Linked DNA regions of Drosophila melanogaster. Changing the gene in region 3 together with the main gene of any one other region gives a genetic interaction. Each region holds a gene or a part of one and is shown on either strand. Other genes may lie near its edges.

Evidence for each region.
Region 1: of Wnk (region 3) and Awh, changing one suppresses a phenotype caused by changing the other (phenotypic suppression), as found in Drosophila melanogaster (one study listed by BioGRID).
Region 2: of Wnk (region 3) and fray, changing one suppresses a phenotype caused by changing the other (phenotypic suppression), as found in Drosophila melanogaster (2 studies listed by BioGRID).
Region 4: of Wnk (region 3) and dsh, changing one suppresses a phenotype caused by changing the other (phenotypic suppression), as found in Drosophila melanogaster (one study listed by BioGRID).

What each region holds. Positions count from the first base shown.
Region 1 is NT_037436.4:3,842,649-3,850,302, forward strand, and holds the start of Awh (arrowhead), read left to right. Parts: upstream 1-3,557; 5' UTR 3,558-4,093; coding exon 4,094-4,099; intron 4,100-7,654. UniProt on the Drosophila melanogaster protein: Probable transcription factor. Required for the establishment of a subset of imaginal tissues: the abdominal histoblasts and the salivary gland imaginal rings.
Region 2 is NT_033777.3:18,577,316-18,585,229, reverse strand, and holds the start of fray (frayed), read right to left. Parts: upstream 4,015-7,914; 5' UTR 3,760-4,014; coding exon 3,726-3,759; intron 2,952-3,725; exon of another isoform or gene 2,876-2,951; intron 2,647-2,875; exon of another isoform or gene 2,525-2,646; intron 758-2,524; exon of another isoform or gene 644-757; intron 1-643.
Region 3 is NT_037436.4:21,549,867-21,557,818, reverse strand, and holds the start of Wnk (Wnk kinase), read left to right. Parts: upstream 1-2,890; 5' UTR 2,891-3,265; exon of another isoform or gene 3,266-3,438; intron 3,439-3,638; 5' UTR 3,639-3,675; coding exon of another isoform or gene 3,676-3,794; intron 3,795-4,225; coding exon of another isoform or gene 4,226-4,700; coding exon 4,701-5,615; intron 5,616-5,846; coding exon 5,847-6,019; intron 6,020-6,080; coding exon 6,081-7,952. Other genes in the region: CG7173 (uncharacterized protein), read left to right, coding at 59-1,528, 1,878-2,067, 2,134-2,168. UniProt on the Drosophila melanogaster protein: Serine/threonine-protein kinase component of the WNK-SPAK/OSR1 kinase cascade, which plays an important role in the regulation of electrolyte homeostasis and regulatory volume increase in response to hyperosmotic stress.
Region 4 is NC_004354.4:11,351,913-11,360,188, reverse strand, and holds dsh (dishevelled), read right to left. Parts: upstream 4,309-8,276; 5' UTR 3,836-4,308; coding exon 1,964-3,835; 3' UTR 1,465-1,963; downstream 1-1,464. Other genes in the region: Pa1 (PTIP associated 1), read right to left, coding at 426-585, 652-860; CG1737 (uncharacterized protein), read right to left, coding at 5,654-8,276.

The DNA.
Region 1 (7,654 bases), about 18 Mb from region 3:
GCTCGGCTTGGCCAATGATTTATGGGCTATGAGAACGCATTGGACAGTCGCTTACCACCACAAAATGATGTCCTTTGGCACATGTTACCACAAAAACGGGCCATAAAACGAAACTTGAGCAAACAGGCGCTGGTCAGGAGTTGTGCAAACAGCCGAGAGGTAACTGGCTATATGTAGGTGCATTTACCATCTATTAAACGTTGTACGCTCCATGGTTCTAGCCCCAGGCAATTAAGACATATTTTAGGGGTTGACCAGTGGATCTTAACATCTTCATAACACGCGCGATTGCGACACAAAGCCTAAAAAAGGTAGCCACAGAAAATCGAACATGCCACCAACAGTTTTCCGAAAGACCTGTCCCAAAAACCCAACCAACCGACCAACAAAAATAACTGAAAACGGAGCCAACAAATTACCCTGAAATTTTCAGTGATCATAGAAAACGAGCACTGGGAGAAATTCTTTCTTTACAAGCTATCTATCTTCACCTATTTAATTATTTTCTAACTCTTTAAGGGCACATATATTTTCTCGGTGCATTTTCAACTATGAAGAGAGAGTTTCTTTTGGTCATCCCTTCCATCTTATCGCCGCGATCGGTATCTGCTTGGAGATGCCCAGCACATAAATCTGCCACCAAAATGGGCAGATCCAGAGGGAGAGGCCGAAGAAACCAAACCCAGAACCCAAACCCAAAAACCAGCGACTGCGACAGGTTGCAGCTCAATAAAGATCCAAATAAATATAATATCGCTGGTCTATGAGTCGAACAATGGGAGATATGAGAAGGATGTGTTCATTTAGGGTTCGCGGGTTCCAGTTCCATTTACCTGCCCGGGTTTCAACCTGTTCGAGGGCCAATTCGAAGGCGGTCGAAATCAAATGGCCAAGGCTTTTGTAAACGGGTGACATTTAAGAATTATGGCATGTAAATGGAAGGCATTCCCGGAACGGCGATGCGATGACAGCATCTCTTTCAGAAACCCCAGCCATCGGATTATTTTTTGATCGGGGGGCTACTGTTAATCAATTTAGAGCCTCGAGGGTCGAGCTATTTTTATTTCTTTCCAAAGTCAGATGCGGTCCAGGATAAGCAAAAGGCTGCGCTTCGATGTGCTGATTAATGGGCGATAGTCAAAGGTATTAGGGAAAGTATACAGATATGATTTTAATTAAGACATTTCGCTTTTAGTTTTGATCCAAATGAAGATCTTAATATGCACTATATGGCAATTGTATGAAAAAGTAGCAAAATTGCATGTTAACTGGATCATTTTATCGGTTTAATGTGTAATCTTATTGTAGTATTTCTTCTAGGCGCTCTATTTCCTTTAATTCCCAGTTTTCAGAGCGCTTTTTTTGCAGCATCCCACGGGGCGTATGCGTGTTAAAGCTACCAGCTGCTGTCGGACTTTTGGCTGCCTTTTGATAAATGCACCGCTATTAAAGTGCCGCCTTTGTAATGCGGAAACATCAAAGTGCACTTACACACACGCACTGCAAGGCAAACATTTGCATTCACACACACACAGGCACACACTGACAGAAAGCCATAAAAATCACTTTGTAGCCATGGAGGCGGTGCATCAGCGCAAACTATGCAACAACAACAGCGAGAAAAAGTGCAATGCAATCAATTCAAAGGGGCGAAAGGAGAGCGGAAAATTCAGCGTGAGGGGGAAATGGGGGTGTGAAATTACACTTGAAAAAATATGACCAACTTGCTGACGAAATGGAAATTAAACAACAAATGACAATACCCTAAAGCAGTTTGCAGGTTTTATGACAGATATTTCTATAAATGGTTAACTTTAAGCTTGAAGCTTTTATTTAAGTATAGAACAGTTTAAAGATATATTAATTTTTTTCCAGTGCAGTGACAGGAGAACGAGAGCCAGCAGGCAGCAGCATTTAATCCTGCAAAAAAGGCATTGCGAGGCACCATAAAATGATGTTAATCCTTAAATAACGTGAGCAAAGCAAAAAGCGGAGAAAAAGTGGTAAAAAAAACGGGGGCAGGCAGAAGGATTGGCGAAGGAGGAGGCGGTGGGGGCCACTCGACTGGATGATGGCGACAGCCAAATGCCAATTGAATGCCAAGCGGCTTTAAGAGACAGCCCACGATCAAAGAGACAGTGAATGAAAAATGGTGCAAAGTAATGGTTAAAGTGCTCGAAATGGAAATCCTCAAGGGGATCGGTGTTGCACATAAAGCTTAAACTCAGGCTTAAATCAAAGTATAAAGGGGACAAAGGAAACTGGAGTAACTTGAAGAGTTATTTAGCACCAAGGAATCATTAATAATAGTACTTTCTTTAAAAGTATTAATATAAAAGCAATATATTGTTATTGTTGTTATATTATTATTGTTAAAGCCATGCAATTTAATTTTATGTTAAATAAAATAAAATGTTTTTAACTTTAAACCTTTTTTTCTTTGAGTCAGTCTGCTGCGCTATCATGTTTGGCATGCCATCACAAACAGCCAACAGAAATAAAAAATATATAACCGAAAAGACAGCAGCATCCACTGGCATCAACTCACTTCCCCTCCATCAAGCGGTTTGACCCCAAAAAGTCAAGTGCGGCGGAGCTCGAGTTCCGTTTTCCCTCTCCCTTACTTCCTCCCTCGATATTCGGGTTTTCCTGGACTTTTACTCACTCAGGCAGCAAAAAAGTCAGCAGGAAAAGCAGAAATGACAGTAACATCAGTTGAAGTCACGGTGAAAATTATAGTAACAACAATATACTTACTTGAAAAAGCAAAAGTGGCAGTAACAACAGCAATATTATTGAAAGGCACAACAATTCAAGGAGAATCTTAAGTGGAAATATCCTGAGTAAAAGCAAAAGAGTTAGAAGCAACATCTGTTCCAGTAAACGCAGCAGCATGACAACTGTTACAACTGCAACAGGAGCAACATTGGTAGCTTTTCTAGGCAAAAGTAACCACAACAGTGAAATCTTTTCTAGGAAAAGCTGCTACAACAGATACTGCTTTATAAAGAACAAAAGATACAGTAACAGCAGCCACACGAGTCTCAAAAACAGCAGCAACAACATCGAAAGCACCAGCAATATGACAGAAATTCCTTCGAGTAACAGCCATATCAGTAGAAATGGCAACATCGTCACCAGAGCAACACCCACCCAATTCGCGGCACGATTTCACTCCGAGTTTCGACTCGATTCAAGTGGCCAAGTTGGCACGCGCCGGCGCACTCAATTGGTGCACAGGCGGCGCGGACTGGGAAAGCACTCAAAATGGGGGACACCACTGCGGAACTCGTTATGCGGGGCGCAAAGGGGCGTGGCCAGGCGGGCCAATCACCACCATTCCCGTTGCGCCGACGACAGATGTGCGCTCAAAAACCAGTTGAGCGAGTTCTCGAGTCGAGTTTCGAATGGGACTGACTGGTGGTTGTGGTTGTGCGTACGGCTGGTTCATCATCATACCTGTGGTGGTGGCGGGCATGCCATGAGCATATGGAAACCGGGCGTGAGCCGAGCCAGTTGAGCACCACCACCAGATCCCTGAGCTCGAACCCCGAGCGCCGGCAGTTAACGCAGTGGCCTCGAAGCTGTAACAACATCTCGCGTCCGCTCGATCCGCTCGATCCGCTCCGCTCCGTCACGAGAAAAGCGAGAAGCGCTCAGAGTATCTGCAGTGAAACGTGTTATCGTGATAAGGTTCTACGAGTATTCCATGCCATAAGGTGTCGCACATTATATTATTGAAATCGAAACGCAACATTCGCCGTCGGCTAAGAAAGTGAACTGTTATCGAATGTGCTAATCAAAAACAAAAAAAATGTTGCAAGCGCCTGCAAATTGATTTCTATCTCGGATATGCGAATTTACACTGGTTATTAATAGATCTGGTTTAAGAATACGATTATATAAGCATCCTATGCAGACGGCGGCTTCCGTGGGACGCTTGACAAACTGATCAAGTCGTCGTCTTTATCATCTATATCTCCTCATACTGGCTGCGATCGGGCTCGATATCGATTCCCAGGCTAAAGCTGGCGACAGATTTTCGAGCAAGATACTTGGATTAACAACCGCCAAAATTGTGGAGGCAATTAAAATGAAGGTGAGTCTCGATTGCTTTATAAAAAGATAGATTGAGTTGTAAAAAATCAACTTTATTGCTATTGGAAAGAGGAAAGTTATCAGTCTGTGTATTATAAATTTCTACATTTTTGAATAAAGTTAGTCTTTAATATTCTCTATTAAATTAGACTGTAAGTGTTGCATGTTCCACCCGTATTGCTCGGCGTTTGAGCGGTCTGTTTGCACACCCCCTCAAAATGAAGTTTCTGCTTTCCTTTTTAATTGCTGGACATAAAGTCCAGTAGACCCCGAGTGACCCACAAATCAGTTTTTTATGTAAAGTTTCCTAGCCCGCTGCGAGCATATTGGGCCAGAAAACGCAACAGGCGGCGTTTGCTCGACCATTGGGAGTAAAAAAAGAAGTGAGCCGGAGTTAAGACAAAAACCGGAGCAAAACAGTTTCAATTCAATTCGAAAAAGCCAGCACACTAATAGCGGCTGGAAAACGATGAGTTTTCAAAAATATGGAGACGACACAGGGCGGTGAATATGAAAAGCACACAAATCGCACAGTGGGGTTCCTCCCATCGAAAACACTCAGCGAATAAGCCACAGATCGCAGCCCACACTTTTGGGTATTACTCGAATATTGGCTGTGAAATGAAGGCTGATATTCGGATGTATCTGCAACCAAACCCCAAAAATCATATTCAACTTGGCCTTTTTTTTTTTTTGTTTTGTATCTTTTCAAGACATTGCATTGATCGTGTCGCCTAGATGATGTTGCTCAATCCCTTGTTCATTCAACAACACATATTTTTTGGTTTTTGAATTTCGAATTTGATTTTGACTTTGATTTTATTTCATACCCAGTCCGAAAACGTTTAATCGATTTTTACACCCGCTGTGCGACGGGCTTTTTTTGTTGTGTGTGTGAACCACCCACAGGATTTTCGAAAAATATTTGCCATGAGTCTGCAGAGAATCGATCATGATTTATGCTCGCCGATGATCGATTTACCATGGCTTTGTTCGACGAGCATAATTTTCATTACCATAGCAAATTGGACAAGGTGCTGACGCTTATTGCTCTGCGATATAATTTTAATCGCCCGATTTTATTTAGCTAGATTTCTATACGCACCACGGTCATAGGGGGAAAAATCAGATCAGCGGGGGATCCGCTTACAATTCGAAGTCCAGAACTCAAATGTCAACAGTTCTGAGGTGCCGTCGATGGTCAAGGGGCATGGGGGATTCTCGGCGAGAGACCTTTTCTTGACATCATCGATCTTGACCCGGCCCAGATGTTGGTGGATCCCCCCCCTTCCACATGTCGCCGCCCCGCTTTATCATCCAAATCCAAATCCGAAAATGACGCCACTAGGCGCTGCCTTATGAATATTCAACAAAGTATGGAGATGGAGTCTTTTTTTCCCTGCTCTTAGGTAGTCAGTCGGAGAAAGAGATATAAAAAAGGCATAAATATTTAAGCGCTTAAATGTCGAATGCCTGCGAAGCAGCTATAAAAAACGTATATACATATTTCAATAATCGATTTTTCATTAATAATTCACAAGAAAATTGAAAGATTGGAAAAAACTAAACCTCCCATAAATAGATACACCAAAAATGTTTTGTGTAAGAAGTCGTTGACGCCTCCATCTGCGGTTCGAAAAAGTTTTCTTTAATTGGCAATTGGGTATTTGAAGGCGAACTAAAAATACAGAGTGATTACAGAGATTTTAGGATTTGACTTTCTATATCTCCATCTACTTATTAGCTTTGAGTGTTTGACAAAACACCTTTTGAGGATTACACGCCTAACTCCATTGTCCCATAATCCCGCACAAGAAACCAAAAAAAGGAGCGCGTGCCGATGGCCAAGATTTTCCTACTTACCAAAAGGATGTTTTGCAAAACCAGCTGCCTGGCCAGCGGTCAGCAGATTTTTCAGCAAGCCCCCTAATAATTGGATTCCCAAACAAAGGACATTCTGAAGAGTGTCCTGTGACCACTGGTCGAAAATGCCTAATTGTCAACGCTGACAAGAAGTCTACGCCTCGGTTCTTGTCTCCTTGGGAAAACAATGGGCAAACGGAAAATGCATCTTGACTTGAGCCAATTGCCCCGATCAGGGACAAAGAGAAACAAATATCACACCTTTGTTTTGGGCCTCGAATCCATATATGTAGTATGTACATACCTATTGACAATAGATGCCAGAGTTCCTGGTCAGTTTTCAGTCGGGTTGCGCATGCGAATTGCAGGAAGAGATCGCTGGGTAGATGTGTCAAAATCGCAGCAGCATTTTTAGCAGGTAAATGCGAGAAGTCCTCTTCGAATGAACATCGAATGCAGGAGGCACAAGAGGTCCTCACAAAACCGCACAATGGAAGGCGAGTCGAGTGTCTTGCCATTGTTCGTTCGAGTGCATCCACAAAATAGTCCTTAAAGGACGCTTAGTTGGCCTACAAATGATGCATGGCCCTTGGGCCTGTAAAATTGTAAAATGCCACAAATCATTGCCACTCCTGTCTGCCGGCAACTCAAAAAAAAAAAAAAAAAAAGAAATCAAGGAAGATAGAGACCCAAACCCGCCCCTGGAATTTACGAGCCAACCCCTAAATGCAAACCATTCGATTTCGATTTCTGGCAAAAAATTCCAATAAATAAAATAAATGTCCTTTTGCCAGTTTGTCGCCTGAAAATATTCGCATTTAATTGCTTGACAATTGTAAATTGGCCAAAAAGGAATCGTTTTCGTATTACAAACTGTAGTTCGCATACTATATAAGTTATCCCACATTTTCAAAAGAACTTGATTTTAAATAAAATGTATAACACTTTCTAATATACATATGTATCGCTACAAATATGCCACTTGATTCGTTCTTGCCACTTTGTCATCAAAAAAAATTTGTTTTTAATTGCCTGACAATTGCAAATTGAGCCGATAGAGAATTTCAATATCATTTTATCGATGGCATCTACGAACAGTAGCCAAAGTGATTAGTTTTAGGGAAGCGAAACTAGTTTAGAACCTCTTTGCCGTTTGAAACTCACCGCTAAAATCATTCAAAGTCACCCAAATAAATTATCGGCTAGAACTTTGGCGGTGGCCCACAAAAAACAACTCCGGTCTTGATTTATTGGCCCACAAAAAAAGGGGGGACAGAAATACAATGGCCGAAAGCTGGAAACTGAAATATGAAAATATTATATGTGTAATTTATGCAAAATGCAGATTTAGCTAATTAATTGTGGCCAATGCTCAATAAAAAATAAGAAATCAAACACGAAATCCCCCTAAAAACTCCGCACAAAGATGAGCTGTAGTAAAAAAAAAAAAGACAGACGACGACTCGAAATCAATAAAAGCCCAACTTATTGATGTTTAGTGGCTGTGACATGTTGACGAAAAGACAAAAGCATTTGGGATTTTCGGTTTCGGATTCACTCGATGCTCGAGTCTCCAACTTTATGATGAATGCCTTAAAAATGCCAAAAAAAAAGATACATATTCAAAATAAAAAGCACGAAACAAATACAAGAGAACGCGAAAAACGCGTGTCGAAATCGTTTGAGATATTTG
Region 2 (7,914 bases), on a different chromosome or scaffold from region 3:
AAAGAATAACGCCGCAGGAAAACAAAAAATATCTAAATGTTTACACAACAAACAAAATGCGAAGCGGGGGGAGACAGGAAATGGCCTTTAAAAACACTTGGCAACCAAAAATAAAATTAAGAAAGCTAATTTAAGCAGAAAACCATTTTAAAATGGTAGAAGAGAAAGCTAAGTTAAGCTAATTTTCACAGATACACTTGAATACTTTTCTTATGACAGTGATTGAAGATTTAAAACAAAACGTCGATTTTGGAATTTGAAAACTCGATGACAAGTCAAAAACTCAAAACAAAAACAGAAAACTATGAAGATCTAAACAAAAAGCGTTTAAACAAAACTCAAATTTAAGCTTAAATCAATGACAAATATGAATTTAACTGGAAAGTGTGAGTAAATGATTTTATTTATGCAGACAAATTTCACAATTAATCAATACCAAGAGTAGTTGGAGAAAGAGAGAGAGAGAAGAGAACGCGGGAGAGACACACGATCATGTGCAACTGATAAGCATTGTCACACGACTTTACACACACACACACACACGCACACGTTTGGAAGTTCAATAAATTTTCATTTAGGGCTTTATTGATTTCTCGGCAAGGAAATCAAAACAATTTACGCCAAATGCTGAAGAAATAATTACACGATTCTCGTTGCTGCTACTTTTTTTTTGTATTCTGCTCCACACGCCGGCGCGACTGCGACTAGTGTCGTTTTTTCGGCGTAGCGATCGCTTCAAAAGCCGCGCAACAAATGAGCGCACAAAAGCAGAACAACAAACGCAATGGCAAAGCCAATAGCAGCGCAGGCGACGTCGACGTCGTAACAACGGCTTGTGGCAAAAACAACATGAATATGAGAGAAAAGCACAGAAAGTTGTATTATGCGAGCATCGGATACCCTACCACTAAATAATTTCGTCTTAAAGCTTTGCTTTCCAGAATTCTGCGGATTTAAATGTCTTATATAGATTCTTAAATCAAGATCTCCACGAATATGGGGGTTAGTACTTTGAAATATGCATAAGCCAAACGACTGAAGGGTATTATGCTAGTGTGGAAAGCTGAAACTAGAAATATACAAAAATAAATTTATTGAGTAAATATCAACAACAGAAAAGAAGGGCGGTGGGGCGGGGGTGCTGGTTGAGAATGAGGAAGCAGAGAGGTAGAGAGCGCCAGTGAGAGCGGGTTAAGAGCCGCACAGTGGGCGTCATAGATGAAAACTATCTGTTATTAGCGATAAAAAATTGTTTCGATAAAAAAAAAAATTGAATAAAAACTGTAATTTCAAAATGCTAAATATGAACCTCAATTTTGTTTCTGGTAAAAATAAATTGGAATAATAGTTCAAAAATATAGAAACTACTTTTTTCTACATTCCATGTTATTTGCACGATGTTTAGGCGATGCTGACCCACTGGCAATTGCACAATTTGTAAGGTTTTTCTTTTGTTTGCCCCCACCAATTTTCCCTGCGCCTCGTGTACTCGGATTTTATCAGCTCTGACGCGCACGATAAGTTAAAAAGTTTCCAGCGGCAATAATAACAACAAGCGAGAACAATTAGCAACAATAAAGACCCAGAGTCCCAAAAAGTGGAGCATAGATACAGCAGACATATGTATGTGCTTTCCATACCGCACCCAGATACAAAAGTGGAATCCAGTATCTCACTCTCTCTCGCTTTTACTCTTTTTCCATTCCGTTATCTTGCTGGGCAAGATAACTGGGTTAACATACTGGAAAGGGGGTTAATTTGTGGGGGGAAGCCCGCACAGTCATCATGGAAAATTCATAAATTGCATCCACAACAGCCCATCCATAAAACCCAGGCGGACATCTAGATAGATACAAATGTATCTATAGGTTGATTATGGGATCGTCAGTTTGCATTTGGCCATAGCGCTAAATTCTGTTCTGCTCTGCATAAAAATGCGCCATGGTCGAAGAACGAAGACTGAAGACTTATAAAAATAAGATATTCGCGCGCGCACACACACAATACTGATACTGATTTTTGCGTGGTCTATTTATTTTTAGAACGTCTCCGTCTCGTTGGCTATTTGCATATAATTTCCAATGCAGTTCGGCCATGGCAAAGTGTCTCGCCGTGCGGAAAGAGGCAGGTTTTTGGGTGCGTATGAATCCAAATGGATCGGAAAATGGAAAGCAGCTCAAGAGAAAGATTCGAAATATACTCTATTCTAATCTTAAACAAAATTGTGTTCAAGAATTTGCAAAAGGTTTGGTTACCACATTCAAAGTTGTTTGGTAATACTTAGAGTGGCTCTGAGCATTGGTAAAGTATTTGGTAACTCTTTTATTTTTTAAATAAATTTAATGTAATACTGCGATTTTCAATTGAGTTTTCGTATAGCTTGTGTTACTTCTGTTAATGGTAGTAATTAACTATAAATTGTTTCATTCAAAACAATTAACGAAATTTTCCACACATATAATTATAATTTAGGTGTACTAAAGTTGGCAATTTAAGAATCAGCGTGATTCAGTTACCTAATCACCTCACAATCCAGCTAATGGATCCTCTCATTAGCTCAGGTAAATGAATACGCATAAATATCTCATTCGCTTAACACATTTTCCGTTTATTGCACTCTGTTGCGTTTTGCAAATATGCGACAGCCTTAATATAGAAGAATCAGATAAATTACAAAAATACACGTGAGTGTATTTATAAAACGTCTCGATGGAAATGAATTTAACGACATTTGTAATTTCAATATTGACACATTAACGAGTTGCTTGAACTTTGAATTGCAGTTGCAATATCGCTTCGCATTAATTGTTGACACAGTTCGCACTGCAATCGCGCGCAAGAATGAAATACAAATGACTAGATACTATATCTATACTATGTATGTATCCGTTAGTTGAGTAGATGAGTGCGCGGCTATGAGTACTGAGCCGTGCCAAGTGCCCAAAGTGACTGTTTGTTTAGATTAGATTTTTAATTTGGCCGATGCCAGCGACTTTTCAGCACGTCATGTGGAAGAAGAGTAATTGATTCCTGGTTTTTGCATTTAGTTGCTGTTCTGATTTGGGAATATAGTATTTGTACTGGCATTGATGAATTCATATAGCGCATACTCATTTCGATCTTTTCGTGTTTTGGTTCTCGCTGTTGGTTCCAAATGATCAACAAATTTAAGAACTTTTCACAGGATATACTATAATACTGCATATACTGACAAAATTTGGAAAATCCCCTGATCTATGTATTTTGTGAATCCTCAACTCTCTTTGCTCAGTAAGTGTTTTTGCTTTGGAAGCCAAATAAATCCTAATAAAGTCGTTTTTGCTGAGTAAATTATAAATTTCGTTGTGACATGTTTATAAGCTTTTTGTGGCAATTATTTTTTAATAATTATTTAATTATCCCGAACCCGACTGGATATAAATCACAAGCAGTATAACGGGGATTCCCCTGACCGAATTCAGTTTTGGCAATTTAAGTTGGTTTGCCAAATTCGCATTTAAAATTCACACTCCTATCTATCAAATAGGTATCATTTATTTAGCTATTTGCATAAGGATACGTGAATACACGCACATACAGTATTTTTGGATTATAAATGACAAATGTGGAAAATAACTTTCGGCGATAACATGAATTTCAAATTAGTTTGTGCTTGTGATTTGCTGAAAAGTTGAGTGTCGTAATCGTGATTTATATAGTTGGATTTTTCAAAAATTTCAACCCACTTTGCTTGAGGCACACTAAATTCAGCAACTGCATTTTGTCTGGTTGTCACTATTTTTTTTTCTCAAGTTCTGAAATGATTTTAGTTCTGGCTGTAAATTGCTTTTAAGCCAAGATCTTTAGCCACAGATGTAGATTCGATCACACGCGACACTCGAGAATGACTGAGTTGAGTTATCAACGGAACTGCGATTGGGATTCGATCCGATTGCAGTTCGCCAAATCGCATTGCTCGCGATCGCTGAATGGGCCGCTCCTCCAGCGCGAAAATCACAAATTCGACTGAACTTCACAAATCGTTGTAATCAAACATTTAAAATGAACTGTTTTTTCCACCCCCTCCCCTTTCCATCCATTGCTTTCGTTTCGTTTAGCAATAAACAACAATAAAATTAAATGAGCTCTACAAATGGCGGAACACGACGACAGGCGATACTATATACTATAGTAAAAACGCCGTTGCCGATCGACGAAATAAACGTACGAAATGTGCGAAATTTTGCCGCCTCCATCAACGCGCGTTGGCGTTAGTTAGTAGTAGTTAGTATCCGCCTCTGTATCCCCATCGGTGTCTTTGTATCTCTATCTGTATCTGTAACACCAGGTGTATCTATGTATCTACGTATGTCGGTTGACGTAAGCTCGGATTTGCCGGGCTTTATGGCCAAAGCCCAGCTGATAACTAACATGCATGAGTGATTGCCTTGGCTTCCACTTAAAATTTAAATACCTTCGGCAGGGGATTTTCGGGAATTTGCATAGGCAATTGTTCCTAGTTCCGTTCTAGCGGGTTCTACAAATTTCGTTTGATACGAAATAGAAAAACAACATATCACCAACTTTTATAATTAACAGGAAGTCCTTGTGTCGCGAATTGTGAGTAAAAGTTGCTTTTTACAAGTAAGTACTAGGATATTCATAGATCTATAAATGTAGATTCTTCATATCTTGGAGATACAACGTATCTCTTTCTATCCTCAAGAGGACTGTCTTTGGTAAGACCTCTCTTTTCTTATAGACGTCTTTCAACCATGTTTACCCTGGTTTTTAGCAGCACTGTACCCAGGTAATTCTTCTTCATCGACAAAGACATGCGCAAGTTTGATGTTATTATTATTTTAGCAATTTGCATACGGCTTATGGGATGTGTATTTTTAAATTCTTGTTTATAGTCAAAGTGTGCTGCCTTATTTTCCTACTTTTTGCTTTAATCTTATTTTTAACAAGGGAATTTGTTGTATCCAAGCCAACAGAGCTTGTGTATCGAAATGTGTGAAATCTGTCAGGCTGTGCAAAATCGTAAATATATCTATAATTGTACGCTGGGTTACTTTTTATGCGCACCGGCGATTCGAGTCAAGTGATCGAACGCCCTCAAAAAGTTTTGACACTCGAAGAGCGCAAAAAAAAAAGAAGCCGAAAAAACCAGCGATTTAATTAGCGCCCAATGCCATTCGACACGTGTGTGGGTGGGCCAAAGGTTGAACCCCATATTCCTGAGCCCCAAATATTTCGCTTTCTACATACATATGTAGATATACTACTCACAATACTAATACTAGGCGTTGGTCATAAACTCTGTGAAATTTTTCACTTGCGTGACGTCGGTGACATCAAAATGAGGAAAACTCATTAATGACCACGAGCTGGGGGCCAGCTATGATGAATGAACCGAAACGAACCTATTTAGTATACTAAAAACTACAGTGGATATACTTTTGTATATTTGTATACAACCAGCTATAGAAAAATATTATTAAAATGCATATTTTCTTTATAGTCTTGTACTAGTAAAATGTTTTCTAAGCAATCGAGATACATTTAATGAACAAACTTGCTTTAAAAAGTCTAATACTATAAAATCCCATGAAAGATATATTTTTAAAAGTATATTGCAGATCGACGCGTTGTTCGTGAAACTCTATACATTTGTATAAACAAATGCGCATAGTATATTTCTTAAAAAAAATTCAAAATATGTGCCATGTGCCATCGCCCATCAGCGAAATCAATGCTCACATGCTCGGTTCAATTTGCTGGTCAACATCTCATGTGATTTCTGCTCAGTCGGTCGATTTCTCAAGGCAAGGACGTTTGGGACTTTTGCACTCGCAAGTCATTTTTTCGCAAGAAATTAAAAATAAAAAAACAGCAGTAAATAAATCAATATTCTTGTACGCAAAACATTTTGTCGAGCTCGAGGGTATTTCAGTTCATTGAGTTCAAAAAGCTGCGCAAATGCAGGAAGTTAATGTATTCGGAAGTCATATGACAAACATAATTGTCGCGCATTATTATTCAAAACTAAAACTAAATGAGCCGCGTTAATTGCTCTTTTGTTTTATTGCCAGAGACAGCAAGGTTTTGTTTAAATAAAAAACAAATTAAGCGTGTCAAAAATGTGCAGCGATCTTTTGAGAAATTTTGTAAAGACAACCCAACATCAATTCAAGCAATTAAGAATTAAGCCTTCTTGTTTCAAAATCAATAAGTTGAAGTTGGAATTGCTTGTGTACCTAGTTCAGTATGGAGATCTCATATGAAGTAACCTTGCCACAAGTCGCACAATCGCGGGGCTTAATGTTGCCGCCCCTCGATATGCAAAAGATGAGAGATATATGTACATAAATCGTAAAGCCGAGACGGCGCGTTGACAATGCCTAAAAATAGCAATCGCAATTGAAATTTCGTTCCATATTAAGCGTGGAGCCCAGTGATAGTTTCGTTCTTTCCCTGGTGGTCATTGTGGCTAAATTTAAATCTCTGAACGTCACATGAGTGGGTAGGAAATGGTGTACGGGATTGTACTATAGTGCGGATTGGGGCAAGCCTTCTCCTTTGGTGCAGAAATTGTAAATTACAGAGCGACGCAAGTTCAAAGTCAAAATAGCAATTGAACGAACGAGCGAACGACGGAGGAGGAACAAGTCCGCATGTCAGTCAGTCAGTTCAGTTCAGATCGTGGCGATGCTGGTGATCATCATCATGTTTCCGCTGATCGTACAAGATCATTATGCCAATTTGTTGTTGTTTTTCCGCTCGACCGAGCATGCAAACAAATTAAGACTGAGGGCGCCGTGCCCCGACTAGCGAAATTTAATTAGCATTGCCTCACTGTGCCCGCATTCAATGCACTGGCAAATGATATTTTGAATTATTTTCAATGATTACTCTATAGGAAATGCAGAAATATATGCAGCAATATCACACTCACACGGCAGCATTCCAAGTAGTAACGAAGTGCTTCACAAGAGTAAACTAGCTGTGCTCGTTCGATTAGAACGAGTGGCGAGTAACTAGATGGACTAGTTACTTTCAAGGCGTAATATTATTTAACATGTGAATGATGTAGCTTTCATGGAATGACCATGTTATGCAATTCAATTACCATTTTTCCCAGTGCATGTCACCGTCTTTTTTTTTTGCGACTGAAACGCTTTCGAATGCCCTCCCACACATTTCCGCGTGCTAGCAGTGAGGCAAATTGAGCGATTAGCGCCGAGCAGAACGTGATCCACCGGATTGATTCCCCACCCCCAAAAGCCCCGAAAAAACCCCACTGTGCCTTCTACCTATATCAATTTAAATTCGATTTTAGATCACCATTTAGATTTCACAGTCGCCGATTGCATTTCGCTTTAATGCGTTTCGTCTGCCGAACGAGACGAACTTCTATAGCAGCGTGCTTTCTTAATGACTTTATTATGAAATCCCCATTACGATGACTAATTGTTGTGAAACTAAAATATTTGTAAATCACGCTAAACCTTAATGCATACAACAAACAAACCAAAAACTAACTATCTTTAATAAATAAATCTTCTAGTTGCACTTTTATCTAAGAAGCCAGTTAATGCTTGCCATTCTAGTTTAATTTTATGGATCTACTATATAAAAAGTTAGGTTCACAGTATGAACTTACCAGTTCTCCTCTTAAAACCTAAAAAAAAAATGAAAAGAACATTTTAGAAATTGTTAATTTAGATAGCGATTAAACAAATGGTTTCAATGGGGGCGTAAATAAAAAACTATTGAACAAGAAATTATAATAAATAATGCACGATAAAGTGTACTTATTTGAAAATAATTTATTAATCGCAAGCAATCATGCATTCTAGGTGAAAATCTCCATCAACGTTCATCATGTAAGGGATCAGAGCCAAGCGAATGGTAAATAATTTTCAAGAGGGG
Region 3 (7,952 bases):
GGAACTGACAAATGTCAAATACCAATAGACCGTCGTGGAACGAAGACGAGCTTTAAAAATGACTCAGAGTCCGCTTAAGTTGGCCCCCATTTTGGAGGCCCTAGTTCTGATAGTGGTCCTAATCAACCAAGTGCAGTGCGGTGAGAATGATATGAGACAAGCGCGCATAAGGCAGTTTCTGAGTGAGAACCAGCCCCTGGCCCAGCACCATATCAAGCACAATCGGCCGCCGGGTCCCGGACAACTGCCCCGGATAAGATCGCGATCGGATAACCTGGCCATGCTTTCTGGTGGCTCCAACAAGTTCTTGCGGTCGCCGCAACCTGCCACTGCGCAGCACATCATGCGTCGCGAGCAGTTCGGGAACTTTCCTGCGAACGACCAGCTCAGGAGGTACCAGTTCGACCAGAGTCAGCAGGGCAGATTCGCCCACGTAAAGGACACTCCGGTGCTAGATGTGGGCAAAAACCAGTTCCCACTCCAGTATGTCTCCGAGCAGTACATTCAGAACTTCAAGTCCTCGCCGCGCTTCAATGGCAATGTGATCATGAAGGACACCAAGCCAGTGTACGCACCCATCCAACAGCATGCGATTCCCGTCCAGGCCTCCCAGTACCTGCACTATCCCAAGCTCTTCGGACAGCAGGGATCTCCCAGTTTCAGTGTTGTCCCTACCCAGCAAACTGCTCTCCAAAACAGCCAGTTTCCCCAGGATCCAAATAGCTACTCTGTCTACGAGGATACCGATATACCTGCGAAGCAGGCGGTAAACTTTCGCCAGGCAGTGCCACCACCAAAGGAGTCCAGGGAGGCGCAGGACTACCTGCAATTCATGAGCACCAACGAGTACTTCCTGCCCAAGAGGGATCCTGACTTCAAGAAACTGGACGCCGAGCGGGACCAGCAGAAGCTGCTCCACCAATATCCACAGCAATACAGACAGCAGCAGCAGCAGCAACTGTATCAGCAACAACAGCAGCAGCATCAGCAACCGCAGCACCAGCAGCCGCAGCAGCAACAAGCGCTGCAGCAACATGTTCCCTACAAAACTGCTGGCCTAGACAACTCAGTCTCCTCCAGTTACAATGAGCCCATACAAGTGTCCGACTTGTTCTACCAGCAAGATCCCGCTCCTGCGAATTCCGCAGTGGTTCGCGGCAGTTACCAGGCAGGTCAGGATGTCTTCGTTGTCAAGTCCGACGGCAACAAAGCCGTTAAGCATGTGGTCTCTACTCCCATGGCGGTCCAGACCACCACTCAATCGCCGTCGAAGAGCCAGCACCTCGCCAAGACCCACAAGAGCTTTACCCCGGAGCCTCTGCGATTCGAGTTCACCGAGCAAGATGCCATAAGGGGATCGATGAAGTACACCCAAGCCCCGCAAGCCAATCAGTACTACTACGAAACCGTGGCCCAAGCTCCCCGCGAGCCCGCGAAATCTCCTGCCCCGAAGATTGAACTCAGCAAGCCCATTAAGGAATACACCGATGACCCAGAGGATAGTTCCGACACTGAAAGTGGAAAGCAGGTTGGTTCTGTTTCTCAATAAATGTGAAAACCGCAAGTAGCTTATATAAGCTAGCATATTTGTTGGCCAAAAAGTGGCCACAAAAACAAGCACTTCCAACCTTTAAGGCATTTTATAATGATTTTTACGCGATTTAGTGAGTACTTAATTTCGATCAAATCGTTTACGGGTTTAAAATAGTACTCTTCTTTGAAAAAATAAACTTAAAAAAATAGTTGATTCTATCAACTCAAGCTACAAAAATTATACGACTCATCAAATACCAGTAACAGTTTTTCCTAATAAGATCAAATTCTTTTTGCTGTGAATTTAGCTCTTACATTTTTAATTTTAAATTTGCCCATTTCAGCAAGATATTCCAAAGGTGCCCACTGTGACGAGTTCAGCTACTCCTGACGATCCAAAGGACACGGAAAACTACTGCGAGAAGATATGTGCTAATGTGTACGATGAAAACGATGAAATAATCTGTGGATCCGACGGATACATGTACACGGGCGAAACCCAACTGCAGTGCTATTCGTCATGCCTCAATATAAGTAAGAGTTTCATACCCAATATATGTATTGTCTGTATATATTTTAAACCAACATGTTCTATTCCAGGTGTGACGATTAAGAGTAAAGGATCTTGCTCTTAAACTAAAATAAAATAAAAAACTGTTTTAATTTAATTTATTCTAGCGATTACAAAATATGCAAATTTAGTGGAAATGGTAAAATGTAGGGTTTTGTAAAAAGTGATTTTGATTTGTTGTTCACGTATAAAAATATCGTGCACTTATAGCTTTCCTATTCATTAAAGTGATAACTTATAAACTATTAGTGCATGTATATTTAAGTTCTACAATATATTTGTATGTATCTCAAAAATCATTCAGAGAAGTTAGTTATAATAAATAAATTAACGAATTGCAAGAAAACATTATCGAAAATCATATTTATATATATAAAATAAGAGACTATCTGGGCTTTTTGCCTTAGGGGCAAAACAAAAGAGACAGGAGCATCTTCTTGCTGAATAAGGGAAACCTGTATAAGGGTTTGGAATTTATTAAGACTTTGTTAGGTGTGGTTTTTACAGCTGTAATCTGTTTGTAATCTGTTTCATTATGGCAGGCAAAATGAAATTTAAAAAAGTGGCTTAATGCTTAAAGGTTATACAGTATTCTTAACAATGTTATAACTCGTTCGAAGAGTAACGGTCTACTGTTCAAGTTAACAGAGGCCAGGTAACATCTCTGCTAATGCGTAACATATATATTAGGCAAGCTGGTAGCTTGGGTGGCATCACCGCCGATAACACTTGTGTAACAATATGCGCTATCGATAGATCACGAACACAAGTAAACCCAGTTGCTTTGTAAAATTTTTTGTGAAAGTAAAGGGAACTTCTGGCGAAATAACTTCAATTTTCCGCTGACTCTCGCACGCGTTCAATCCAATTGACCCCCCTTGTGGAGGTGACACTATCTCCCGAAAGACTTACCAATCCCCCGTGCCGTAATATGAAAGCTTGCTAGCTCGAATTGCCTTTGAACACCACAATCACAAATTGAAATCCTCGATGCGAACGATCCGACAGTCGCAGTGCGAGCCCTAGACCCCGTCCCGGTCGTAAATCCCCAACTCGAGCACGATCCCGTCGAGCGAAGGACTTCCGGAAGGAGCGGCGTGGAAACATGACATCATAGTCGCTGCATATGCTTCCTGTCCCGAATCAAATGTACATAAATATGTATGTATAGCCAGCGTACCGCACATACGCACATATCCCTCGCGACAGAACAGAACAGAGTAGAGTGGAACGGCAGAGCCAGTGACGAACGTAGTGCAATCGAAACTAGTGATTCATGGAAAGCGCACACCTCGGCCTCCTGGAGACGGCGCCACTACCTCCTCCACCCAGCTGTAAGCGATATTTCAGACGTCGGCACCAAGCAACGAACATAAGTGGGTGTGGGAATGGTCACCTTTCCCTGCTCCTGCCCCTGCCCATGTCTCTGCCCCAGTCCAAGCCAGTTCCTCCTGTCAATAGTGCCGGAATTTAACCTTTGCTCCATTCCTCCATGCCTTCATGTACTCATTCACCGCCTTGCCTCTCGCTTCAGATTAAACGTGGTGGTCTGCTGCTAAAAATCTTGCAAAATTGGACAAACCCTCTGCGACTTCGTACGACAACAAGAGGTCGTACCTGCGAACCGTGCTCGGAAGGGAAGCGCCATCAGCGAAGATGGTACTACCTCCTGCACCACGCAACCTCAAAGGTGAGTTGGAGTCATTGCCAAAACATTTAGGGAATATCTCTATTTATTTAAATATTGTTTTTATTTAAATCAGGGCACATAACAAAAAATGATTGAAGTAACAATCGTTGTTTCATATATGCCTAAATAACGTAAAAGCTGGTTTAAAATATCCTTGTATGTAGTGTGTTAAACTGACCAAGTATCCTACAAAGGATTTGTTTCCCTAGGATACTAATTTTTAAATATGCTTCAACTGGAATTGTTACTTCAACGTCTCTGTTTTAAGCAAAACTTACTAGATAAACAACACGTAAACTGAAACCGTTTTTTCGTTTATCGAATGTTTATAAAATGTTCTTGGAAGGAAGTTTACTGAGAACTGTGGAAAACTCGACTGTTGTACCTGTGAGTCTATAGAATCTAATCAACTACTTCTATCATTCTTTTAGGAATACCTCAATTTCTAGCGAGGAGCAAACTGTGCAGGGAGCTAATATACAAAAGTCGGGACACCGTTCGTTTAATAGATCTGCCTCCTCTAGGCAAAAGCCGAACCCGACATCAAAACTAAAAGACACACTAAACAGAAAGCCCACTTGCAAGCAGGGCACACTTTCTGCACACACGAGCACTAGCAGCACCACTTCAATCCAGTCATCACCTATCGAGCCAGCTTCTTCTCTACCCACGCTGAACACCACGCCTACACCACCAGCTGCCAGCAAAAGTAACCTATTTGTGCGGGTGCTAAGACGCTTTTCAAATAACACCCTTCCCGGCAAAACGGCGTCAAGCCCGAAAAACGTGGACGACGTACCGAAAGTCAACGATAACAACAACGGCGATTTAGGCAAACAGCAATCAACCGATGTAGAGGTGCTTTGCTCTCAGGACAACCAGAGCAGGGAACAGAATGAGGACGAAATGGATAGCAAAATAGAACCTGCAGATGCCATAAGCAACCAGAAAGCTGGTCTTACTTCGGGCAAACCTAAAAAAGACAAGTCAGTCAAGGGGACGTCGCAAGCGGTTGTTTCAGACACCAAGAAAATGGAGGCCAGAAAGTCCTCCTCGGACACGGTGATCGAGCCATTGATCAAGCAGCAGGCGCCACTGCACTCGTCAAAGACCACGCCAACGACTTTGACGGCGAACTTCGTGCAAAACATTCGATTCGTCCGTAAAAATGTGGAACAGTCAGGCAGGAACACCAATCCACTGCAGTTCGTTGAACTCGAGACAGAGTTTCCTCGTGACTATGACGACAACATCGAGATGCTTTCCCGCGAGGCGGAGCATCTGGAGGAGCAGTTCCGCACGCCTACGCGCTCCAATGCTACGGATGCCACTTCCCACCATGTGGCCGGAATCATCGACAACATTATAACCGAAGCGTCACGGAGTCTTACAATCGAAAAGACTGAAGACGATGTGCCATTGAAGTCTTCTACCAAGCACTCAAGCGGCGTAAAACGAGTTGGCTTTCAAGTAGAGGATAAGGACGATACCGAAGTTCAGAGCGAAAAGCAGGCAAAGAGCTTCGACGACATAACCAAAAAAGCGGAGAGCTCCGAGGCTAGCGCAGAGGAAGCTGCTGTCACCGGGTCCTCGACAGATGCATCTGCATCTCCCCTGCCCTCCACGTCGCTGGTCTCCACCACATCTTCAGCTACATCGATAACCAAGAGTAAGAGCGATGAGGACGATGATCCGGTGGCCATGTCGCCGTGCGGACGATTCTTTAAGTACGATAAGGAAGTCGGACGCGGTTCCTTTAAAACTGTCTATCGTGGCCTGGACACGTTGACTGGTGTTCCAGTTGCCTGGTGCGAGTTATTGGTAAGATAAAAAACTTCTTAAGTTTATTGTTGTGCCATTGGGCATATGTATAAGTATTATTATTATTAGTCAAAGCAAACATGATCACAAGCTTGCATAAGCAAGTTATCAGATAGATAATAATTATCATGAATTTTTGATTGAGTAATCTTTTTTATATAATGGATCATCACAATTAAAGTAATCATTAGGTAACATGAAAATGTACAATTTTATTTACCTATTTTACAGGACAAGCAAGTAAAAAAAAGTGAACGTACTAGATTTCGCGAGGAGGCAGACATGCTGAAGAAACTTCAGCACCCAAACATAGTGCGGTTTTATACATATTGGGAGTTTCCTATTGGCCGCAAGAAGAATATTGTACTAGTCACCGAACTAATGTTATCTGGAACTTTGAAATCGTAAGCGTAAACATGGATTTTAATGGGCGAATTGTAAACATAAACTCTTATTTCCTTATAGCTATTTGAAACGATTCAAAAAAATACACCCAAAGGTATTGAAGTCATGGTGTCGCCAGATACTAAAAGGCCTTAACTTCCTGCATACTCGTCAATTTCCTATAATTCATCGTGATTTGAAATGTGATAATATTTTTATAACTGGCACCACTGGTAGTGTTAAAATCGGCGACTTGGGCCTGGCAACTTTGAAAAACCGCTCCCACGCGAAATCTGTGATTGGTACGCCGGAGTTTATGGCCCCGGAAATGTACGAGGAGCACTACGACGAGTCGGTGGACGTATATGCATTCGGCATGTGCATGTTGGAGATGGCCATTTCCGAATATCCTTACAGTGAGTGCAAGGGTCCTGCACAGATCTACAAAAAGGTGATATCGGGCATTAAGCCAGCGGCGTTGGCTAAGGTGGAGGATCCCAACGTGCGCGACATTATCGAACGGTGCATTGAACTTAAAAAGGAGGATCGCCCCAGCTGCAATGAACTGCTAGAATCGGAGTTCTTTGACGAAGATATCGGTATACGAGTGGAGCCAACTGCTTCGGAGCAGTTCCTTTCTGATCCGAGCATCAGCATCATCGAGTTCCGACTGCGGTTTATGGATCCCAAGAAGCGCTCGTCCCGTCATAAGGAAAACGAGGCAATTCAGTTTGAGTACAACATCAGGCATGACGAGTACGAACAGATTGCGCAAGAAATGATGAAGGAAAATATTATATCTGAGGACGACTCTCGCGCTGTAGCTCGGCTTTTAAAAGTGCAGGTGGTGTCGTTGCTTAAGGAACGTGCCCAGCGTCAAACTCAAATCAAGCTGCAAAACGAGAAGTCTCGTTTGGAAAAATTGGCATTGCAAAAGCAACGTGAGAGTTTGCCGACTAACGTCGATGAAGACGAGGAAGAGGAGGAGGAGTCCGAGGACGAGGAGGATGGTGTTAAATGGAATCAGCGCCTGCAGCTAAGATATGACCTGCTTAACACTGATTCAGAAACAAGCCTGGCTCTATCCACGAACAGCGTCGAACCGCAGCAGCTGTCCACTCGCTCGAACACTTCGATTCCGAACAGTGGCATTCAGCAACCTGTTCAGGTCCCAGGTCAAGTGCCTGTTTCCCAGTTGATCTCGGTGCAACCACAGGCTATTCCGTCACCGGCTATTCCCATGCAACAGAAGCCGACGGTGCACTACATTCAACCGCCACAGCTGGCCTCTTATCAAAATTCGAATGCATCGATGCAGGAGATGACCAATAACCAGGTCATTTCGCCGACAGGCAGTCAACAAATGCAACAGCAACAACCCGTAGTGGCACCAACAGTCAATCATCAGGTCATGCCGCAGCAGCAAGTGAACCAACAACAGCAACAACCACAAATGATGCAGCAAATACCCCAGCAAGTTCAAGTGCAACAGCCCCAAACTGTATTGCCTCCGCAGCCACATGAGCAGCAGCCACAGCAACAACAACAGCCACTGCAGCAACAACTGCAGCAGCTTATGCATACTAACGTGCAGGCTCCGGATTTGACTCAACAGCAACAAATGGCTCAGCAACAGGCCCAGCAATATTTTCAGCAGCAGCAGCAACAGCCTCAGCAGGCCGTTAACATGCAACAAGCTTATGCAATGCAGCAAGCTGGCCAACAGCAACAGCTTTCGCAGCCTCTTCAAATTCAGCAACAGATCTTGCAGCAACAACAAGTGGCCGTTTCACATCAGCAACAGATAATGCAGCAACAACTGGCCCAGCATCAGCTGCAACAGCTGCAGCAGCAGCAGCTTCAACAACAGCAACTGCAACAGCAGCAGCAAATACAACAACAGCAACTCCAACAACAACAACTCCAGCAACAGCAATTCGTACAGCAGTATGC
Region 4 (8,276 bases), on a different chromosome or scaffold from region 3:
AGTTCAAACTTCTCTGAGTTGCAACTTGTTGGTTCACAAAGTTTTTTAGAATTCCAAAGACTGCTGCAATTTAAGCTACAAGCTAGTCACATGAATATGGTAATTAAGTCATAATATGCCTATGTTTTGATGTTTAAACTTCCTCTCTAGATGCTGACTAATAAGTCATAATAAGCTTATGTTTTGATGTTCAAACTTCAAACTCTCTAAATGCTAACTATAAGTATGGTAATTTAAATCTTAAGTAAATTGAAGTTCAAACTCTCTCTAAATCCTTACATTAATGCGATTTGCAGCAGAGCTCCACAGCCCATCCTGTCGATGGTTGTAAAACGACTGATGCTTATAGACTAGTCCGCATGGCGATAGAGTACGATCTGCAGCCGATTGCCTGGACCGGATCAGCATCAGAATTTCGGCGGGTGCTATGAGCTCTCGGCATTCTTCTTCTTCAGCGTCTCCATGACGCCGGCGAAGTTGGCCGTCTTCTTTTTGGCCGACTTGGGCGTGGACGTCTGGCTGCGGACGCGCATCTGGGTGGGGGCCACATCGTCGCTGAAATCAAAGTCGTTGGCCTTCTGCGGTCTGCGGGGACACGAAAATCAATCATAAGTTATGTTAACCTTCGGATGGTGCTGCACTTGTTCTTACTCCTGCTCAATGGCGTCGGTGGCCTGTTCGAGTTCCTTGCTATTGCCGCCAGATCCCGCCTCCGGCGATGGAGCCCTGCGTCCCGGAAATTGCCATTGCAGTTCCGGAATATTTCCCGCCTCCAGCATCAGATAGTAGCCCTCTAGCTCCTCCGCGTTGGCGGAGAACTTGTCCGCCGTATTCGCCGCCGGCTCCACATCCGTTGCCATCGTTTTCTCGGATTTAAACAATCCAAATGAACTGGAAATTTGCGTTTCTTTCCACAATAGAACCTATTGGTTTCGCGACCTTTCTGGAATGAAAGCGATAGTTTGCTTTGGCGTGCTTATCGAACAGTTATCGAACGTTCGTTGCTATCGATTTTCGGGCTTAGTGTTGCAAAGTGTCCGAGCTGGGCGGTTGATTTGAACACATTTGCTGCTCGAAATGGATTTTCTATTTATAGGTTTCATTATTCTCTTCTTTATTAAGTGCACACCCATGCCCGGAATGTTTCCGCTCCGAGTGCACACAACTTCGAGGATTGTTCTCGATGGCGCATTGTTTGGTTTAGGGGGAAGAACAATATTATCTTGTTGAGACTTTTACTTTTTAGGATGGAAAGTATGTGTTTAAATATTGTTAATCTGTACAAAGAAATAAGAACTAACAAAAATTAGACTTCCTTTTTAATGTATATTCCTCAAATTACGAACAAACGCTAATATGTTTTAGGAATATTTTAAAAGTCTTCTTGGCAATTTGATTTGCACTTGAAAACAGCTAAAATGCGTTAAAGAAACCAATCTCATGCATATGGAAAAGCCATCGATTATTCATTTTATTTGTATTTATTTACTTTGTGATTACTAAATTCTTAGAACTTTATTCAAAATCATTCTCGCCCGTCATGCTGCCGTTCCTGCTCCTCCGCTCCGCTCCGCATCATCCATATATATATATATATATATATATATATATATATCATATATCATATATCTCAGTTGATCTGATCTGATCGGGTCCACAACCGATTGCTGCCGGACACGGATATCCCTGTGCTGATCCTCCTGCTGCCTCACGAGCCCTCGCTGATCCTTGACTCGTTGCGGCTGGGTGTTTAGCGTTCTTTTCTATGACTTACACATACCATACATATACATAAGTATTATTATTATTATTATAATTATTATTATTATTATTATTATAATTATAATTATTATATTGTGGTTTGCTGTTTGCTTGCTTTGTATACTCGTATATAAAAAAGAATAATCGTACATATTTAATTTAATTAATTAAAAACACAATTTGATTGCAAAAAGAAAGGTTTCTACAATACGTAATTAAATACGGATACGTCCTGATCGTTGGTATTGTTGCCGCCACCGCCACCGCCTCCGCCGCCGCCCCGATTGGAGGAGCCGGATGATTTGTTAGAGCCATGAGCGGCGATGGTCAGCTGGTTGGCCTGATGGATCACCGAGGTGATGTCGCTCTGCGACGCCGAGATATCCTTGCTGGTCAGCACATCGCTGCTACTCGATCCCGACGAGATGTGTCGCTCGGCGATGCCGTACTGGATCGGCTGATAGCCGTGACTTGGATTGTACGTGGCCGAATATGGCATATAAATGGGCGGGTTCGGTAGCGGCCCGATGTCGCTGGTGATGCTCTCGGTGTCCGCATGGCTAAGCGCATGGCCGCCATGCCCGTGCGGCAGCTGGTGCGGATGCAGATGTCCTCGGCCCAACAGATTGGGATTGCGCTCCTCGTTCACCACGTAGTAGCACTGCTCCGAGAAGGTCAACTTATTGACCGTATGCTTGATGTAATTGCTGCGCAGCATCGCCGAGACGATCCTTCGCGCCTCCCGCCTATCCTGAACATCCTCCACATTCTCCAGCACCCAATTGACCGCATCGGCGCCGATAAATGCATTGGGAATCGTTATCTTTAGCCACATGCGATCCCTGATCTCCAGGCCGCTGTCCGGCTTCGTCATCGCCTTAACGATCTCCTCGAGGTTATTCTGGTCCAGACGCTCCTTAATCGGCTCCGCAATGTCGGCAATAATACTGTCGTGCGATGTGAGGGCCTGAGTGTGCGCCACCCAAGCACCGGGATCGATGGGTCGCACCGGCTCCGTGCGCGGAATGGTGAAGTAGCCCTTGGGATTTGGGTCCCAGCACTTGGCCACCACCAGCTTGATGGGTCCCGGCTTCTGAACGACTTCTCTCAGCACACGTACCGCCTCGTCGTTGGTCATGTTCTCGAAGTTGACATCGTTCACTTGGAGGATCATGTCGCCCGGTTCGATGCGTCCATCGAGTGCCACTGCGCCGCCTTTCATGATGCTGCCCACGTAGATGCCGCCGTCGCCGCCGCGATTCGATTGCCCGACAATGGATATGCCCAGAAAGTTGACCGCCTCCATGTTGATGGAGACGGTAATGATATTTAGGGACATGGTCGAGTCGGTTATGGAGCTGTACGAGGAGGTGCGCGACATGCTGGGCGCCCGTTTTTTGCGCCTCTGCGGCTTCTTGCGCACCTGCAATCGCTGAACGCTGCTATAGTCGGTCATGTCGCGGTCCAGCGTCAATTCGGATTCGGTGCCAAAGAGACTGGTCGAGTCCAGATCGCTGGAGAGCACGGATGCCGATTGATATGTGAGCGGTGGCGGCTGCAGCAGCGGATTGCCCATCATCTTCTGGTGATGGAGCACCTGCTGCTGTTGCTGCTGCGCCAGCTGGACAGGCTGCACCTGCTGCTGCTGTTGTTGTTGCTGTTGCTGGTGCTGCTGCTGCTGTTGTTGTTGCTGCTGCTGATGCTGCTGCTGTTGCTGCTGTAGCTTCCTGTTGGTCAGACCCATGCCCAATTCACACTCACTGGTTGGCAGCTCGGAGCAGTTATCTGACTGATTGGTACCATCGGCGGAGACCAGCCAGGACACCACTCGCCCATTGAAGCAGGGCAGTATGGTGGAGTCGTCGGCTATTTCCTCTTTGACCACACCGAAATCGGCGTCCATTGACTTGAAGAAGTACTTGTAGTTGTTGTTCTGCTTGTTCAGCACCAGCTTGAAATCGCGCAGCGTCACCTGGGCGGATGGAATGGGGATCTTCACCAGATACGGCGTCGTCTCATCGTCGATGTGGTATATCACCTTCGTCTCCTGCCCGCCGCCCCTGTCCGCGTCCATTTTAGCTGCGCCGACTGCGGAAATCCACGGGAAAACTCCTCGACGCGATAAAACGCGATCAAAACGAAATGCGATGGATGCGGTGGGGAGGTGGCGTGGGAAGTTGGTGGGGAAAAATCACAGGGAAAACGGGATTAAGCCAGGGAAAAGCCGATACAACAAACAAAATTCACTCGATTTTGCTTTTCTCCCCCTGGTCGCTCTAGCCCTCTCGCTCTCGCACGCGTTTCTTTTACTTTTTCTTTCTCTTTTTTTTGGGCTGGGTATTTCGATTCAATGGAAGCGGCGGCTGTTAATTCGTCGATTTGCACGGCGTTGATATTGCTCCATTAGCACGATTTGGTGCGCTTTAATGTCGGTGCACGCAGCGGGGGCAGGGCGAAACGAGCATATTGCTAGTTTATCAATAAATTTGTTAGAATTTTGAGACTAAAAAAAAACAGTGTGTTAGCCGCTCGTCACGCACGGAATGCCAAAGCGCCGGGCAGTTGGTCACACTGCCGGCGATGCCAGACCCTTTCGAATTCGAACATTCTTAACATTTTCTCAAACGAATATTCTGAAAAAGCGTATGGAAAACTACTAAAAACTGCAATGTATTTAGTTTCTATTGGAAATGCTCTCTCTAACGATATTTGCTTTACAATTTGAATGTAGTTCAAACACTTTTAAAATTAAATACCAAAGTTATCGATAAATATCGTTTAATTTGAATACTTATTCAAAACAATAAATTTATTATAATTTAACAAAATAGCAATTTCTATTACATAAAACATGTAGAATCTAAAACTACAGCTATATTGAACTCTTAATTGTATTAATTTACCATATAATGATGTAGCATAGTTGAAGAGTGTCCTGTTTAAAAGTAGAGTCTTTATCCTTGTCATGGAAACTTGACCAAGGAAACTCATCCATCCATCCACTTGAAGCCTGCGTTCCTTATCTTCTTTCGCTTTTCACACGAAAATCTCTAGCGTTGGCCGCAGTTTATTTATAGCTGCCCGATTTCCAGATAACCCCGCCCGCCATTTATCACGCAATGGCGCTCGTTATTTAAATCAGTTTTCTCTTTTATTTGTATGCTTTGAATTGGGATCACTTAGATATACACTCGACTAACTTACTGGCTAGTCCTCCACGCGGGCGTAGGCACATGTACGCCCGGTTTTATATTATTGAATCGACTACGATAATAGCAATTTAAAAAAAAAGGATTTCGAAGGGGGCGGGACTCGCGGGGAAGGCGGAGGGGGGCTATGTATTCCAACGCATTTAAAATAAAAATCATTATTGATATACCTCGACCGCCCGGAACTTCGCAATCCCTTCGAGAGTTGGGCGAGCATTTTACAATTAATTGTTTTCTTTAGTTTAGTTTATATTACATAGATACATCTGCCGTTTGTATTTATGTATGTCCGTCCGCTGTTTATAATATACGAGATATATATATATAAAAATTTATATAAATATATATATATATATATTCATATATATAAATATATAATTATATATACGTGTATATATATTAATATATATTTATATACATACATATATATATATACATATAAATATATATAAATTTACGCTACACTAGCTATTACAACTAAGTTAATGGTTTTACAAAAAAAAACTTGTATCTGTTTTATTACAACTACAGCATAAAACGAATTATCGAGTGTCCGCTTTGTTTGTTTGTGTATGTGTATGGGGGAGGGGGATGGGGATGGGGAGGGGAGTGCTGTGTGTGAATTATTTTTTACAATGTGATACGTGCTCTTCCTGTGGCCACCATGGACCAGGCCTCCACGCTCACTTAGCGTTGACCAGCTCGACAATGTTGCTGCTGATCGAGAGGCGATCGACGATATCCAGCAGGATCTCCACATCCTTGATGGTGGCAACCGTCTCGGGGGCACCCAACAGATTCACATGCTTGCCATCGATGTTCGCATAGAAGCATTTGTTCTTGAAGATGACGGCCCGATCGTAGGGCACGCGGCACGTGTTCTTGTCAACGACAACGCGCCGGAAGAGCACGCACGACGGCTGATACTTGTGACGGTCCTCCTCGGGTATGTTGTACGCCTTGAGATCGCCCGTAAAGATGGTCATTGTCTGGCGGGGCATCATCGACGGCGAGACCTTGTACAGCGTCACCTTGCTGGTCCATTTGCCCGATGGCACCTTTATCCGTGACGCCACATTGGCCAGCTTGACCAGCGCCAGCTCCAGGCAGGTGCGCTGCTGGCGCGCCATCTTCGACAACATATCCTTGGCCGTGCTAACCACATGCCACGTCTCATAGCAGGTGATCTTCTTTACCACACGACCATCCTCCTCGTGAAACGTTGTGGTCTCGGGCGGAAAATATTTGGGACTGTTGGCATCGTCGATGCCACCGCCGGTGGGCAATATTTCGCGCAGCGTTGTCAGCTCCTTGTCGCGCTGCTGCTCCTGCTGGTTCTCCTTGCTGCGACGCTGCGGAACCAGGCTCGGCTTCTTGAACACCGGCTGGACATCGTTATCGGCCAGCAGATTGCTCAGCCTCCGGTCCGCAATCAGCGCATTCACCGACGACGCTGTCGTGGACAGCACATTGCGCCGATTGTTGTTCAACTTGTTAACCGCTACCGCTGCTGGAGCGGACGTCATCGCCGCCGACGCCGCCACCGACGTCGTTGTCGTCACCTGCTTGGACTTGGCATTGGCATTGACATTGGCATTCTTACGGGTAACAATAGATACCGGTATATTATCGATATCAAAATCGAGATCTGGATCCGGATCGTCCTCTTCGGTGTCGACGTCCGTGGGACAGAGCTCCTTGCCCATGCTCATCAGCGGTTTCATCGACTGCGTCTTCTTGCCCATTTCCGCGTTGAGTATCCTGGGCCGGGGCTTCGGCAGTTGACTCTGGATATGCACTGGTCCCATTTTGGTATTGACACTACTGTTGCTGGCCAAGATCTTGATGCGCTTGGCTGGATTCCCCGCCGTCGTATTGTTGTGGTTAACAGCAGCGGACAGGGATTTCTGCGTGCTGTTAACAGTGATGGATTTCTTATCGCCGGCAACCGAATTGCCGGTTCCGATATTCTTGGTACGGGGCCTGCCCAAAGCGACCTTTTTGATTGAATTACCGCCAGCTGCGGAAGCGGCCATAGCAGTGTGTGATCTGGAAATGAGCACATCGTCCTGATTGATAATGTCATCGATGTTTACAATGGTGAATGTGGGCATATCCTCCGATTCGGAATCGTTTTTCCCATCATTGCTAGCGTCACCCTTGCCGCCGCCACCACCACCGCCAGTTGAGCGCGTTGCGGGCGTGGATCTAATCGAATTCGAATTGGAGTTCGACAATGAGTTTATCTTGTTACTGCTGCCGCGTCGCTGTGGCAGCATCCTGGCTGACGCACTGCCCGCCTGGCCCACCTTCGGTCGCGCCGTGATCGCTCTCTGCGCGCTCATCTTGCTGTTGGCACCATTCACCACAGGCGGTCCGCTGCGCTGCTGGGAGCCGCCCGAAATGATTATGCGCTTGCGTGGCACAGGACTCTCGCTTTCGCTAGTGTCCATTTTGCGTTTGGCCGCGGCGGACGCAGTGCCCTTGCCCGTGCTCGATCCGTCTGTCATGCTGGCATTGCTTTTGGCCATATTCGTGGCCATTGTGCGACGCATCTGCTGCAGGCTAGTGGACGCCGTGCGGCCGCTGCTCGAATTTATGGATATCTTGGATGTGGCGCCGCTGCTGGAAGTCAGATTGCCAGCGCTGGTCGCGCTGGCATTGGCATTGACATTTTTCGCCTTCGGTGGACGTCCACGTCCACGCTTGACGGGCGGCTGTTTGCGTCGCAGCTCCTGCTCGTACTCGGCCTCGCTTATATCGTCGTCGTCGTCATCGTCGGACTTGTGCAGTTGCGGATTGAAGGCGGCGTCCGCCACTTCGTCATCATCGTCCTCTTCGAATTCCAGCATATCGCTGATTTCATCTCGCGGCAGGCGGACCAAGCGTCTGTCGTTCGTGCCGATGGACTGGCCACCGCCATCGGCCAGGGCGGCCAAGTACTTTGGCGTCACTATATCCTCGCTGACATACTTTGGATTCGGTTTGATCGATCGGCGCGAACGACTGGCCGCAATGGTGGGCGGCGGACTCGTCGATACGCGCTTGCTGGACACCACCTTGAACATCTTCGGCGTCTCCGCTTGAACGGATCGCCGTCGCTGTGGCTTGTCCAGACCCAACTTGTGAGGACTAATGGACAGGGGATGATTGCTGCCTCCCAGCAGCAAATTGCCGCGTCGTTTGGCCAGATTGCTGGATGGCTGCTCCTTGACGGCCGACTCCCTGCTGAGCTTGGAACGCGCCGATGGCGACGATGGTGATGGCGATAACGCTGCTGGCTTCACAGCGTGCCTGGTGCGCGGA